Linked DNA regions of Macaca fascicularis. The protein of the gene in region 1 purifies or fractionates together with the protein of each later gene. This does not show direct contact. Links are inferred from orthologs where the notes say so. Each region holds a gene or a part of one and is shown in the gene's direction. Other genes may lie near its edges.

Region 1 (7,819 bases):
ACCCAGGAGACAGACATTGCAGTGAGCTAAGATCACACCACTGCACTCCAGCCTGGGTGAGACAGTGACACGCCGTCTCAAAAAAAAAAAAAAAAAAAATTGAAGTTGTTGATTTTGTGCATTTTTTGAGCCCCAAAAGGTGGCATGCATCTGTAATCCCACTACTCCTGAGGCTGAAGCGAAAAGATCATTTGAGCTCAAGAATTTGAGACCAGCCTAGGCTACATAGTGAGGTTTTGTCTCTTAAAAAAAAAAAAAATTGGCCGGGCGTGGTGGCTCACACCTGTAATCCCAGCACTTTGGGAGGCTGAGGCCGGTGGATCAGGAGGTCAGGATATCGAGACCATCCTGGCTAACATGGTGAAACCCTGTCTCTACTTAAAAAATACAAAAAAATTAGCCGGGTGTGGTTGCAGGCGCCTCTAGTCCCAGCTCCTTGGGAGGCTGAGGCAGGAGAATGGTGTGAACCCGGGAGGTGGAGCTTGCAGTGATCGCGCCACTGCACTCCAGCCTGGGCGACAGAGCGAGACTCCATCTCAAAAAATAAAATAAAAATTATACTATTATTTCATTTTATATAGGTCAATAGTTTTATATGTGTAGATTTTAATATATATTTTTATACATAAAATAAAACTACATAAATTTGTAAGTTTAAGATACAGGCTGGGTACTGTGGCTCATGCCTATAATCCCACTTTGGGAGGCCAAGGTGGGCAGATTGCTAGAGCCCAGGAATTTGAGACCAGCCTAACATAGCAAGACCCATCTCTACAAAAAGTAAAAAAAAAAAAATAGGTTGGGCGCAGTGGCTCATGCCTGTAATCCCAGCACTTTGGGAGGCCGAGGCGGGTGGATCACCTGAGGTCAAGAGTTCGAGACCAGACTGACCAACATGGTGAAACCCCGTCTTTATTAAAAATACAAAAATTACCTGGACGTGGTGGTGGGCGCCTGTAATCCCAGCTACTCAGGAGGCTGAGGCAGGAGAATCGCTTGAACCCAGGAGGTAGAGGTTGCAGTGAGCCCAGATGGCACCATTGCACTCCAGCCTTGGCAACAAGAACGAAACTCCATCTCAAAAAAAAAAAAAAAAATTAGGTGTGGTGGCACATGCCTGTAGTCCCAGCTACTGGGGAGGCTGAGGTGGGAAGATCACCTGAGCCTGGGAGGTCAAGACTGCATGAGCCGGCCAGGCGCGGTGGCTCACACCTGTAATCCCAGCACTTTGGAAGGCTGAGGCAGGCGGATCACGAGGTCAGGAGATCCAGACCATCCTGGCTAAGACGGTGAAACCCCATCTCTACTAAAAATACAAAAAAAAATAATTAGCAGGGCGTGGTGGTGGGCACCTGTATTCCCAGCTACTCGGGAGGCTGAGGCAGGAGAATGGAGTGAACCTGGGAGGAAGAGGTTGCAGTGAGCCAAGATCGTGCCAGTGCACTCCAGCCTGGATGACAGAGCAAGACTCCATCTCAAAAAAATAAAAAGGAAAAAAAAAAAAGTCTGCATGAGCCATGATCACGCTGCTGCACTTCAGAATGGGTAACAGAGACCCTGTTCAAACAAAAAAAAATTTTTAGCTTAAAAATTTGTCTTATTAACTTATAAGTTTACATATGTACTTTTATTTTATTTTTTGAGACGGAGTTTCAGTCTTGTCACCCAGACTGGAGTGCAGTGGCGTGATCTCGGCTCCGTGCAACCTTCACCTCCTGGATTCAAGTGATTCTTCTGTCTCAGCCTCCCAAGTAGCTGGGATTACAGGCGCACGCCCCCTTGCCTGGCTAATTTTTGTATTTTTAGTAGAGATGGGGTTTCACCATGTTGGCCAGGCTGGTCTCAATCTTCTGACCTTGGGTGATCTGTCCCCCTCGGCCTCTAAAGTGCTGGGATTACAGGCATGAGCCACCATGCTGGCCTTGTAGTTGTATTTTAGATAGAAAACTATAGATTCACTTTACATACAATAAAATGCACAGTTCTTCAATGCTCCATGCCACAAATTTTGACAGTTGTATACAGTTACCTAACCTCCACCTAAAACAGTATATGGAACTTTTCTATCACCCCAGAAAATTCCCTTGAATCCCTTTCTTCTTCTTTTTTTTTTTTTTTTTTTTCAATAATATACAGAGGTGGAGGCCGGGTGCAGTGGCTCACGCCTGTAATCCCAGCACTTTGGGAGGCCAAGGCGGGCGGATCACAAGGTCAGCAGTTCGAGACCAGCCTGACCAACATGGTGAAACCCTGTCTCTACTAAAAATATAAAAATTAGCCAGGTGTGGTGGTGCATGCCTGTAATCCCAGCTACTCAGGAGGCTGAGGCAAGAGAATCACTTGTTTCCAGGAGGCGAAGGTTGCAGTGAGCCAAGATTATGCTACTGCACTCCAGCCTGGGCAACAGAGCAAGACTCCATCTCAAAAAAAATACTGAAAAAAAAAATATATATATATACACACACACACACACATCTCTGCATACACACAGAGGTGAGATCTTGCCTATGTTACCCAGGCTGGTCTCGAACTCCTGGGCTCAAGTGATCCTCCCACCTCGACCCTCCAAAATGCTGGGATTACAGGGATGAGACACCGCGCCGGGCCAAATCCCTTTCTTGACACGTCACCTCCCCGCCAAAGGCAGTTGTCCTTTCTGACTTCAAACACCGTGCCTTTGTTTTGTCTGGGCGTGGACATGATATAAATGGAATCATTCATGTTCTTTTGTGTCTTCTTTTGCTTTAACATAATCAGTTTGAAATGCAGCCACGTTGTTGAGTGGATGCATGGGCTGTCCTGTTGGCAGTGGTGGTGGTGAGTGGAATTCCATTATATGACTATAGCTCAGTCTGTGATTCCATTCTCCTGTGGGTGGACCTACAGGCTATTTCCCATGTCGGGCTATCTAAGAATCAGGTGCCTCGCATTTCTGACAGCCGGACTGGAGTTGTCTTCCTCTGGGGAAGGCTCTGCAGGGCCACCTGCTGGACCATTTTGGGGCATGGCCACTGACATTCACCTCTCCATCTGTCCCCATCAGCGAGCCCCATGCCCGTTTCTACGCGGCCCAGATCGTCCTGACCTTCGAGTATCTGCACTCGCTGGATCTCATCTACAGGGACCTGAAGCCGGAGAATCTGCTCATTGACCAGCAGGGATACATTCAGGTGCCCACCAGGCCGGGCGAGGGGCAGCCCTGGGGAAGCCGTGGCCTGGACCCTCCCTTCCTGCCAACTGCCTGTTCTTGTGCCCACAGGTGACAGACTTCGGTTTCGCCAAGCGCGTGAAGGGCCGCACTTGGACCTTGTGCGGCACCCCTGAGTATCTGGCCCCTGAGATTATCCTGAGCAAAGTAGGCGCCTCCCCAGCCCTCCCCTTCCCCTGAGGCCGGCTCTGCTCTCCTGCTCGCCCCCTCCTCACCCTGTGCCCCCCCATCTTGCTCCAGGGCTACAACAAGGCTGTGGACTGGTGGGCCCTGGGGGTTCTTATCTATGAAATGGCTGCTGGCTACCCGCCCTTCTTCGCAGACCAGCCCATCCAGATCTATGAGAAGATCGTCTCTGGGAAGGTGAGGTCCGGCTGCGGGGACACAGCCCTGGAAGAAACAGACCCTCCCCTGCTCACTCATCCTACTCCCTGGGGAGCCCTGCTTGTTGTCAGAATAATCTAGAAGTTCCTTAAGTCAGGCCAGGTGGTGAAGCTGGACGCACCGGCCACACTGAGGCCAACACCTTGAGGCCCCCTCACTGTCCAGCCCCAACCCCGCGGTTCCAGAATCCCAAGAGCTTCCAAAACCCCAAGCCTCACAGAAACTTCTTGGCCGCAGAACACAAACCGCCCTGCCAGGCAACCCTCTTCGTCACTCCTTGTCCCAGTTAGTGTGAGTTTTCGCAAATTCCAAGGCAGAAAAACCAGTGTATTTGGTTCCTGTTCCCAGGTGCTGTCCGCAGCCTCACCAAGGAGTGCTCTCACTTAGCGTTTACAGCCCATGCTTCCTCTCCCAAACCCAGACTTGCCTAACTCTGAGGGTTCGGATGAGGGGTGCTGAAACCACCTCAGCTCACATCTGTGACAGGCGCAAAGTGCCTGCCATCCACCAGGCCCTAGAATCCCCCCATCAGTCACACCCTGAGATGGTGGCACCCTCTGCAGGAGAGGTGAGGAAACAGGCTGGGAAAAGGGATGTGTCTTGGCCAAGATCACACTTTGGTGAGTAGGTAATCATCGTAGGCACTAAGAGCAGGAGAGAGGTTGGGGACCCCACCTGTGCCCTCAGCTCAACCACCTTGCTGGGAAGACCCGACCATCCCCCGACTTGGTCCAGCATCTCCTACACAGGAGCTTTTGGTTGGCCCAGAGTCACGACACTGTGGTGGCAGCATCCTCAGGCTCAGCCTGGGCCCCAGTCCGGACCCCAGTCCCAGCTCTGCCACTGATTGGCTTTGAAACTTTGCATTTGGGTGCAATGGCTCACGCCTGTAATCCCAGCACCTTGGGAAGTGGAGGCTTGAGGCCAGCAGTTCCAGACCAGCCTGGGTAACATAGCCAGACCCCATCTCTTAAAAAAAAAAAAAAAAAAAAGCTAAAAATTAGCTGGGCGTGATGGTGCACCCCTGTATTCCCAGCTCATCAGGAAGCTGAGGCAGGAGGATCACTTGAGCCCAGAAGTTCAAGGCTGCAGTGAGCTGTGACTGTGCCACTGCAAACTAGCCTGGGTCACAGAGCCAGACACAGTCTTTTAAAAAAAATTCAGGCAAGTGGGGTACCCGGCTGGACACATAGCATCACTAAAAGGGAAAGATGAAGGCCTGGCACGATGGCTCATGCCTGTAATCCCAGCACTTCGGGAGGCTGAGGCAGGTGGATCACGAGGTCCGGAGTTCAAGACCAGCCTGGCCAACATAGTGAAACCCCATCTCTACTAAAAATACAAAAATTAGCTGGGCATGGTAGCAGGCACCTGTAATCCCAGCTACTTGGGAGGCTGAGGCCAAAGAATTGCTTCAACCCAGGAGACGGAGGTTGCAGTGAGCCAAGATCACACCATTGCACTCCAGCCTGGGCGACAGAACAAGACTCCGTCTCAAAAAAAAGGAAAGATGAGGCATCTGCCATGGGTGGAATAGAAACTGCCAATAAAATGGCCCAGAGTAGGCCGGGCACGGTGGCTCACGCCTGTAATCCCAGCACTTTGGGAGGCCGAGGCGGGCGGATCACAAGGTCAGGAGTTTAAGACCAGCCTGACCAACATGCTGAAACCCTGTCTCTACTAAAAATACAAAAATTAGCCGGGTGTGGTGGCGTATGCCTGTAAATCCCAGCTACTCAGGAGGCAGAGGTTGCAGTGAGCTGAGATTGCGCCACTGCACTCTAGCCTGGGCAACAGAGCAAGACTCCATCTCAGAAAAAAAAAAAAAAGAAAGAAAAAAAAGAAAATGGTCCAGAGTGGAAAAAAAAAAAAGAAAGAAAAAAATCACAGAAGATCCCATAGGAGAAGATGCACATGACTCCCTTCTTTGTAGCATTTTCTAGTTCCCCCACACCCTCAGTGGTGTTATCTCCCTCGTGCAGCCCTGGGATATCTGCCCCACATCTGAGAGGCATGCACAGGCCCAGAGAGGTTAAGGGCCATGGCCAAGGTCACAAAGCGTGTAAGAGGCACAGCAGGAACAAGAAGTCGTTTCTTGCAACTATAACTCCAGTGATGACTTGCATACAAGGCTATGGGCTCAGAGCGTATGGGGAAAACTTTCAAGAAGAGTCGAGCTGCACTTTAAAGAATGGAAGAGCCTTAGCTATGCAGAAAGAGAGGAGAGAAAAAGTTTGTCATAAGCATGAATATTTCAGAAGTCTCTGAACCCCAGCAGAGATGCCTTCAGCAGCAGCGGCAGCAGCAGCAGCTGAGAATACAAGTTCTAGAGTCCAGTAGACCTGAGATGGAATTGCCCCATCCCATGCCTCAATGTGACCTTGGAAGAGCTGTTTAACCCTTCCAAGCCTCAGTTTCCCCTTCTCTGAAATGGAAATCATCATAGCACTTGCCTTAAGAGCAATGGTTCTTAAAGGGGACCCCTTTCCAGCATCACCGTTGCTGGGGAATTTGTTAGAAATGCAGATTATTGGGCCAGGCACGGTAGCTCACAGCTGTAATCCCAACACCTTGGGAGGCCGACGCAGGTGGATCACCTGAGGTCAGGAGTTCAAGACCAGCCTGACCAATATGGTGAAACCCTGTCTCTACTAAAAATACAAAAATTAGCCAGGTGTCGTGGCGTGAGCCTGTGATCCCAGCTACTTAGGAGGCTGAGACAGGAGAATTCCTTGAACCCAGGAGGCGGAGATTGCAGTGAGTCCAGATCGCACCACTGCACTCCAGCCTGGGCTACAGAATGAGACTTTTTTTTTTTTTTTTTAATGCAGATTCTTGCTGGGTGCGGTGGCTCACGCCTATAATCCCAGTACTTTGGGAGGCCAAAGCAGGAGGATCGGTTGAGCCTAAGAGTTCTAGACCAGCCTGGGCAATATAGTGAGACCCTGTCTCTACAAAAACTTAAAATAACTAGCTCTTGAATTTTTAAAGTTTTTAAAGAAATGCAGATTCTCAGGCCACAGTATCACTTCCTAAATTGGAAACTGTAGTGTAGGCTCAAGGAGCTGTTTTACAGGATGCCAGCAGGCACTCAGCTTTGGAGGCCCCCACCCAGTAGGACTGTTGGATGGAGAAAGAAGCCTCATGGGCTCCCCAAGTTCCAGACCAGCTTCCCACCCTGTCCTTGTACCCCTTCCTCCAGGTGCGGTTCCCTTCCCACTTCAGCTCTGACTTGAAGGACCTGCTGCGGAACCTCCTGCAGGTAGATCTTACCAAGCGCTTTGGGAACCTCAAGAATGGGGTCAATGATATCAAGAACCACAAGTGGTTTGCCACGACTGACTGGATCGCCATCTACCAGAGGAAGGTGGGTCTCCCCTCCTTAAGCTGCTGAGGGTTTGGGAGCAAGCCGCGAGTCAGGGAGGACAGCCAATAGAGAGAAAGAGAAGAGAACACAGGTTCAGGAGCAACCTAGAGTAGAGAGCTTAGAGCAGTGGGGTCTAGAAATGGGATTCTGGGGTCATTTGGCCATTCCATGACCTTGTGCAGCAGATGCCTCTCTGGGAAATAATTTCCCCTTTGATGAGTTGGCTACATTAAGAGTTTCAGGCGTTAAGAGGAATCCATAACCTAATGGGAAGCACAGGCCTGAGTCAGAGTAAATATCTCTTGAATGTTAGGCCATTCGCATTTATTGTTGTAATAATGATTATGTTGAATGCTGAGGTCTGGGTGATTCTTGATCCCTCTCCAGGTGGAAGCTCCCTTCATACCAAAGTTTAAAGGCCCTGGGGATACGAGTAACTTTGACGACTATGAGGAAGAAGAAATCCGGGTCTCCATCAATGAGAAGTGTGGCAAGGAGTTTTCTGAGTTTTAGGGGTGTGCCTGTGCCCCCATGGATTTTCTTTTCTTTTTTTTTTTTTTTTTTTTTGGTGGGGGGGTGGGAGGGTTGGATTGAACAGCCAGAGGGCCCCAGAGTTCCTTGCATCTAATTTCACCCCCACCCCACCCTCCAGGGTTAGGGGGAGCAGGAAGCCCAGATAATCAGAGGGACAGAAATATCAGCTGCTCCCCCTCATCCCCTTTGCCCTCCTGCCCCCTCCCCCACTTTTCCCTTCCTCCTTCCCCACAGCCCCCCAGCCCCTCAGCCCCACCCAGCCTACTTCTGCCTGTTTTAAACGAGTTTCTCAACTCCAGTCAGACCAGGTCTTGCTGGTGTATCCA
Region 2 (7,819 bases), on another chromosome or scaffold:
CACTAATGCATGATGTCATTTTCTTCAAAGAATGTGGGTTACAATGCCAGTATATATCAACCTGCTTTTCTCCTGTATTTTGACATGATTCTGCTTGATGAATTCACATCTAATGAAAAAATTCAACTATGCTAAGATATGACTGACATCTAATTGCAAAATGTGTCACTGTTATGCATGTGTTGCTCTGCTTGCTATTTTTCATTCTACCAATTATTTCATTCAAAAGAGCTTGCTTCCTACAGGATTTCTGTTGGGTTTTTTTGTTATGTTTTTTTTGTATGTGATTTTATTTTATGTATAAGAAAAGTATAAGTAAAAAGTGTTTTTACTGTATTAAAAAATATATAAATTGCATCAGCTAAACCATTAACAAATTATTCCTGGCATTTTGTGAGATTCAAATGCTACATTAAATTTCGTAGACTATTTCAACTTTAAATGATTTTAAATTGAATAATATGAAATTACATGGCACTTATATATATCATGGTAAGGTAGGATTTCTTGGTTTTAATAACTTTAGGGATCATTTGCAACTCAGATTTTAACATGAAATGATGTGAGAAGCAAAGCTTCCTTTTTTAATTGTCATTTCTCCCCTTTCTAAATGTCACATGTCATATTGTAACATTCATTACCACATTTTTAAGAATTTGTTTTGATACCATTATTAATTAAAGTTTTTTTTGTAACTACTTCTGCTATTTTATTCATAAGTGATGGACCAGATGATAAAGATGAAGAGCATGAGGATGAAGTAGAAGGTAATTTGATTTGTTTTTCAAAGTGTTGGCATGTCTTTTGTGTAAGGTTTCCTAGAAGAGTCTTTATGCATTTTTGTCAGATAGGCTCTAGGTTATTTGTGTAAAACATTATAAATCAGGGTATTTTTGAAATAATTTTGTTTGTCCACTTCTAGATCCTTCGCTGAGTAGTTTTATTTGATTGCTACACTAATGAAATTGTCATTGGTGTAAAGAAATACTGGGCAGGCACGGTGGCTCACGCCTATATTCCCAGCATTTTGGATGGCTGAGGTGGGTGGATTGTTTGAGGCCAGGAGTTCAAGACCGGCTTGGCCAACATGGTGAAACCCCATCTCTACTGAAAATACAAAAATTAGCTGGGCATGGTGGTGGGTGCCTGTCATCCCAGCTATTCAAGAGGCTGAGGCACAGGATTCGCTTGAACCTGGGAGGCAGAGGTTCCAGTGAACTGAGATCATGCCACTGCACTCCAGCCTGGGTGACAGAGCCAGAGACTCTGACTCAAAAAAAAAAAAAAAAAAAAGAAAAGAAAAGAAAAAAGAAAGGAATACTTCATGAGAATTATTTGATTATTTGAGATAAATTAATTATAATCTCTCCACATAATTATTTTCAAAATATAAAAGCTAAAATTCTTACTCATAAGATAATTTATTTTAACTATGGCATATTATTTTCCTTCCAAACTGGTAACTTGTAGAACTAGGGTTTCATGTCAAACTTAGGTGAGTCAGTAATATTTTTACTTATCTTGTTTAAAAGATATTTCTAAGTTAATTCTTCTTCCCTCCCCCAGTTCCAGTGCTTCACTCACACATATACATATTTAAAGAAAATATTCAGATCCTTCCTTAATGAACATAGTTCCAAGTATGTCAGTACTGGATATCATTGGCCACAGTTTTGGATCATGGTTTGTAATCCTTAATTCATATGTTAAAATATCTGAGTTTATTCATCTGAGTGAATTTAGAAACTTTACTTTGAAGCTGAGTTTTCATTATATTCAGATGGTTGTTGAATTTTTTTCTAAAAGTCTAATTTTTTCTTAATTTTGAAAATACCAATAATGTCTTCTATAAAGTGGCACTTATAAAAGTATTTGTACTCTTTGAGATACTTGTTTTTGAACTAGTGATGTTTTAAAAATTGCTTCTCTAGAAGCAGGCAAACAGAAAATAGCTAAAAAGAATTTCTCGAAATTTACTTTATGACACCTGAATTTTCAATAAGTTTAACACCTTGTTTAGGGAAGTCACATCCCAATTTTTAAGCTGCAATCTTCAGACTTAAGATTATTATTTTTTTAGTTTTAATGTCTCTGTAAGTCGACATTCTTTATATAGGGCTTCTAGAAGTCAGTTTTTCTCATCAGATACAAAGTCGAGATGGGGCAATATTTTTAGTGTTATTGATATTTGATATTGATATTCCCTACTGCAATATTTGTTTCATTCTTGTTCAATAAAAAAGTGTTGACTTTGTTTATAAAAGTTCTAGACCTTTTCTCAAGTAACACCTGTGAACAGTTATTCTAAAGGCTACAAATGCATGTGGTAAGTATTCTCTAATGAACTAGCAATTGCTTAACTAGCTTTACTGAGGAATGATTAAGAAAAAAGATACAAGTTAATATAAATATGAAATTTATTTTGAAAAAGATTACTTTTGGCACTAACCAGGCTGTTAAGGATTTCTTTTGTGAGTAGGTAGAAACAGGAGATTAATTATATGTTGATATGTCATTACTGAGCTTTTGAGATTATAGGTATTTCTCATTATATAGAAAGTTACAGCCAACTTTAAATTTGTTAGAGATTGGTAAATTAGGAGATATATTGGTCTGGATTTATAGAAAGACTCAAAATTATGGAAATCCTAAGGCAACAAACTTCTTTTAAAAAAAAAATTTGTAGTTGCAGGATGTCAGTCCCTCCCCTTTTCATTAATTGTTAGTGGCTTCTCTAAAGAGAGAGCTGTTTGAAGGTTCTTGTAGGCCAGGCAACCAGGAGTCCTGAACTGAGAAAACACCAGCAGTGCAGAGAAGCAGTGGGGTGACTTAGCTTCCAGCCCCCTGAACTCCGCAGGATTGCAAAAAGGCCCAGAGACCATGCCTTGTACCGTGGTGTACCAAACCTATTTTTGATTGAGAGTGTTTGAGAGAGGGGAGGGAAAAGACAATACATTTATTTTTAGAGAGTAATGTGGACCAAATCTTTTAAATTAAAAATTAGGGACCAACACAAATCCTGAAAATAATTAATAGTGGTCTAGAATGGCCTGCAAACTGTAGCAGAGAATCAGACATCTGTCAGCAGTCTTTCCATTACTGGTACATATTGGCATGATGTCTGCCAGCATGCCCTGGTGCTCACCTCTTGTGGTGTGTGTTAAGGGGTGGAGGGGTCCTGGTCTCAGCACTCCGTATTGCTCAGGTGTCATTAAGCAGCAGGAATGTTAAATGCATGATACTGGCCCACAAGTCATTATTTCCATCAACAGAGATGGATCTCTCTTTGTGATGAAAACAAAAGTACCATAAAAAAAGAAAATAAATTAGAGATAATCTTGATACTTGGAGTATACCAGAAAATTCCCTGATCTGGCTTTGGGTTAAGTGGTTGCATATGGCATTTCCTCCCAGTTTTGTCTGAATGAGTGATTAAGAGCATGGAGCTAGACTGCCTGTGTAAATGTCCTGGCTCAGCCACTTCCCCACTGGAGGACTCTGCGGCTCTCATTGCCTCAGATCTCTCACCTGTAGGATGGATACGATAATAGTTTCTACGTCATAGAGTGGTTGTGAGGATTAAAGGAGTTTGTACATATAAAGAGCTTAGAACAATACTTAGGATGGAATATGTGCTGCACAAATGTTGCTGCTCTTCTTTATTTGAGATTTTTGTTTTTTGAGACAGTCTTGCTCCGTTGCCCAGGCTGGAGTGCAGTGGTACAATTTCGGATCACTGCAACCCCTGTCTCCTGGGTTCCAGTGATTCTTGTGCCACAGCCTCCTGAGTACCTGGGACTACAGGCATGTGCCACCATACCTGGCTGGATTTTGTATATTTAGTAGTGATGGGGTTTCACCATGTTGGGCAGGCTGGTCTTGAACTCTTGGCCTCAAGTGATCTGCCCACCTCGGCCTCCCAGAGTGCTGGGATTATAGGCCTGAGCCACCATGCCCAGCCTCATTTTAATTTTTATTGTGATGATAGCTTTATAGTTCTATTTTCTCTGTAACCCATTGGTCATAATTTATATCAAATTATGGTATTTATAGAACTTGAATTCATTACGTTAAAATGGTGTTTTACATTTTTGCAATCAATAAATGATCAAAGTTGTTCCTTTGTTTTACATTATTTTGCCCTTTAAAAGTTTTAGTTGAGGTTATGGTGTGGTTAGAAAAAGATGGATGTTTTTTCACCATTTATTAGAATCCTAAGGAAGGGAAAATATTTGTATCTACTTGACAACCAGAGTATTGAGAGTTAAATTGATGAGTTTTACTTTACATTGTTTACATTTAAATATTAGGTTTGGGGCAAGATGGAAAGACACTGCTAATTACGAATATTGACATGGAGCCATGCACGGTAGACCCCCAGCTAAGGATTATTCTTCAATGGCTCATTGCCTCTGAGGCTGAAGTTACAGAACTTTATTTTCATGACTCTGCAAATAAGGAGTTTATGCTAGTAAGTACCTACCTTATAGAGGGTTAGTATACATTTAACAGTAGATGATGTTCTTGTCATGTGGTTGGTCTAACAAGATGCCTGGTGATGGCAGAGTGGTTAAATGCTTAGGCTGTAGTATCCAACAGTTGGGTTCAGACATCAGCTCTGCCTCTTTCTAGCAGGGTAACCAGAGGCAGGTTCACCAGTCTGTCTCATTGCCCCTAACTGCGCTATGCAAATGAATATAGAATCAACCTTACAGGGGTTTATGAGGATTAAATATAATGTTAAAAAAATGCTTAGTCTAATGCCTGGCATAACACTAAGCTCTCAAAGGTAGATGCTATTAATAAGCATTGTGTGTGTTCCTATGAAAAAGTTGAATTATTCTCTGTATTTAATTGATTCATAATTGTACCTAATATATCTTTCTCTGATAATCCAGTTTCATTCATATGAGAAGCTGTCATAATTAAAAGTCGATAAAAGTTTAAACAAGATGCTTACTATGTGCGAAATACCTTATTAGTCAAGATTTTCAGTTTACAGTCTTAAGGTTTTTGTTGCATAATTTTCTTTATTGGAAGTTTCCTTTTGGTGTGGTAGAAATATTCTAATTGTGGTGATGGTTGCATTCAACTTGGAGAACATACTAAAAACCATTGACTAAGACACTTTGGGTGAATTGTATGTTATGTGAGTTTTATCTCAATAAAGCTGTTTTTAAAAAGGTTAAGCATATATATGTTAACACAAATTAGTTTTTCAGACTTTAACTTACAGATCTTTCAAAACTTAAGAGCTTTTACAGAACTTAGTAGAAAAAGAAGTGAACGAAGGCATGTCATGAGTGGGACAACAGGATTTATTTAAACCTGTATTTATGTATGTATGTATGTATGTTGAAACATTAACATTTTTTAACTTAGAAAGCCATGTCATCATTGAGGCTAGAGTGTGTATTCCAGAAAAATAACATACTATATGTTGTGGAAGGAAAATCCACATCCGTTTATTGAGCTTGACGTTGTCTTTATTATTTTATGTTCTAATTGAGGGTGTGGCAGTTGTATTTAGTTAGGTGAAGAATTTCCTGTAGAAACTCAGTCTCTGCACTCCCACACAGACTATTTGCTTGGTGAGGTTTGTGGAGCTTTGTCTCCAGCGATCCCAAAGTGTCATTCTCCGGAGGAGATGTGTTTATATAGGGGAAGAAGGGAAAATGTTTAATTTGGGTAAAGGGGTAGCGGTTTAGAGGGGAAGACCTTGTTATAACTAGGAAACTATTTAATTGTAAACAGCAGGATTCTTAGTTTCAGCTAAAAATAAAAGCTTTGTTATAAAATTGTTTTTGGTTAATGTTTGACACATCTTTCTTTCGTTCTTAGCTTTCAAAACAATTACAAGAGAAAGGATGGAAAGTGGGAGACCTCCTGCAGGCTGTGCTTCAGTACTATGAAGTGATGGAAAAAGCTTCCAGTGAGGAAAGATGCAAGTCGCTGTTTGATTGGCTCTTGGAAAATGCATAGAGCAAACCCCAAACCAGTATATTTTAGTATTTGTTTGGGGAGGGGAACAAGCCAATAAAGATGTTTAGGATAAAATTTGAATAGTGAATATTAACATTGTCAGTCAGTTGGGAGGCAAGTAAATATAGCTTTCTAAGCGCTTTGGGTTATCACTCAGTGTATATAGTTCATACTTTTGTAATCTCTGTCAAAATACTAGCTTCATTTATTCTTCTATACATGTGTGTAGTGTGTGAAGACCCTAAGAACATGTATTTGAAGGAAGGTCTAACCATGGGGTTTTCAGGGGCATTGTCTGACCACATTCTTTTTGTATCCAAATAGTGCTGCTAGAAACTGCACTGAAGTGGCTGAGGATAGGTTCCAGTGATAGAGTTATCATTTTGCTCCTTTGCAAACAAATGGCATCTAATTAATAACTAGTCTGACATCAGAAAATAAAATTGAGGCTGATTTTTTTTAATTTCTAGTAGATTTTTGGTCTTTCCTGTTTTTAAAAATCAGTTTCATTTTCATATTTCATAGTTCAGCTGTTGGTAGCTTTTTGATTTCCCCAAACTATTTAATTTCTTAGCAAAAACATTAGTATTTTAGGTTTCTATGAACACTAAGTGATAGTTTGACCCATCCTTTCATCAGATGACATTATTTGCCAATGCTGCCAGTCATTCTGGCATGAAAGTGATTGTGTGTGTGTGTGTGTGTGTGTGTAAAGGAGTACTTTAACCTTGCCAGTTTGTTCCCTCTTTTATTTTACTGTTTTCTTTTTAGAAACCCACTGTTAAGATTTAAAAAGGTGCTTTAAAATAAAACGCCTATAAAGATTGTGCAGTAAGAATTTTTATTCCTCTTTTTGACGATTTTGGGTTCCCAACTTCTTACAAGTGAAAAATTATAAAACATGTTGAAATTTTAAAAATTAATATTAATATGGAAATGCATTTAGAGAAGCCAATAGTTTTTATTGGATTTTTGAAAAAAAAACTCTCTACCAAGAATATGGTTGAAAAATTGGGATCCCCCCACCCCCTCACCATATCTACACCGTCTTGTCAAGTTCTCTGACATGATCTTTCTGGGCTCTACATTTCCTACTAGTTTGTGTCCAGAAACTGCAAGTTGACATGAATAGAGGACCAAGGTTGTGTTTTGCTTTTGTCTGTCTCTCCCCTCCTCCCGCTCTCTGCCCTCTCCCCCTCTCTCTGCCCTCTCCCCCTCTCTCTGCCCTCTCCCCCACTCTCTGCCTTCTCCCCCTCTCTCTGCCCTCTCCCCCACTCTCTGCCCTCTCCCCCTCTCTCTGCCCTCTCCCCCACTCTCTGCCCTCTCCCCCACTCTCTGCCCTCTCCCCCACTCTCTGCCCTCTCCCCCAACTCTCACCTCCCCCACTCCCCCTACTCTCTCACCTCCCCACCACCACTCTCTCTCACCTCCCACTGTGTCCTGTGGATGTGTGGATGTGTGTGTATTTGGGTGTGTAAATGTTGGTTCTTCCACTATTGGATTTTGTAATCTAGGATAAATCACTTTTTGTGGGGGCTTTGGTTTTGCTCCATTACATTTTCATTTTTTTCTGAGCATTGACTGACCTGAAAGCTGCACAAAATGTAGAAGACATAGCACCTGCCAAGGAATAGGGAATAAGGGCACTTACATTAATGTGAATTAGTAATTGTGGTATAGAAATGTTTTATAGTGAAAGATTCAAATTTGCTTTTTAAGAAAAATGCCAAAAGCTATTTAAATAACTTGAGGTAACATTGTAGGTTTTGATTTTTCTCAATTTAAGATACAGAAATACAGCAAGCCTTAATATAAAGTTTCCTGAAGTTTTTTCAAG

What was found. The genes of interacting proteins can lie anywhere in the genome.
Region 2: the proteins of PRKACA (region 1) and AKAP11 purify together in Homo sapiens (affinity purification with mass spectrometry; 5 studies listed by BioGRID and IntAct, with this or other methods). This does not show direct contact. The link is inferred for Macaca fascicularis from reciprocal best matches to the Homo sapiens genes PRKACA and AKAP11.

What each region holds. Positions count from the first base shown.
Region 1 is NC_088393.1:14,512,037-14,519,855, reverse strand, and holds part of PRKACA (cAMP-dependent protein kinase catalytic subunit alpha), read left to right. Parts: intron 1-3,043; coding exon 3,044-3,170; intron 3,171-3,259; coding exon 3,260-3,355; intron 3,356-3,448; coding exon 3,449-3,571; intron 3,572-6,794; coding exon 6,795-6,959; intron 6,960-7,346; coding exon 7,347-7,472; 3' UTR 7,473-7,819.
Region 2 is NC_088391.1:21,604,523-21,612,341, forward strand, and holds part of AKAP11 (A-kinase anchor protein 11), read left to right. Parts: intron 1-720; coding exon 721-767; intron 768-4,310; coding exon 4,311-4,471; intron 4,472-5,841; coding exon 5,842-5,982; 3' UTR 5,983-7,819. UniProt on the Homo sapiens protein: Binds to type II regulatory subunits of protein kinase A and anchors/targets them.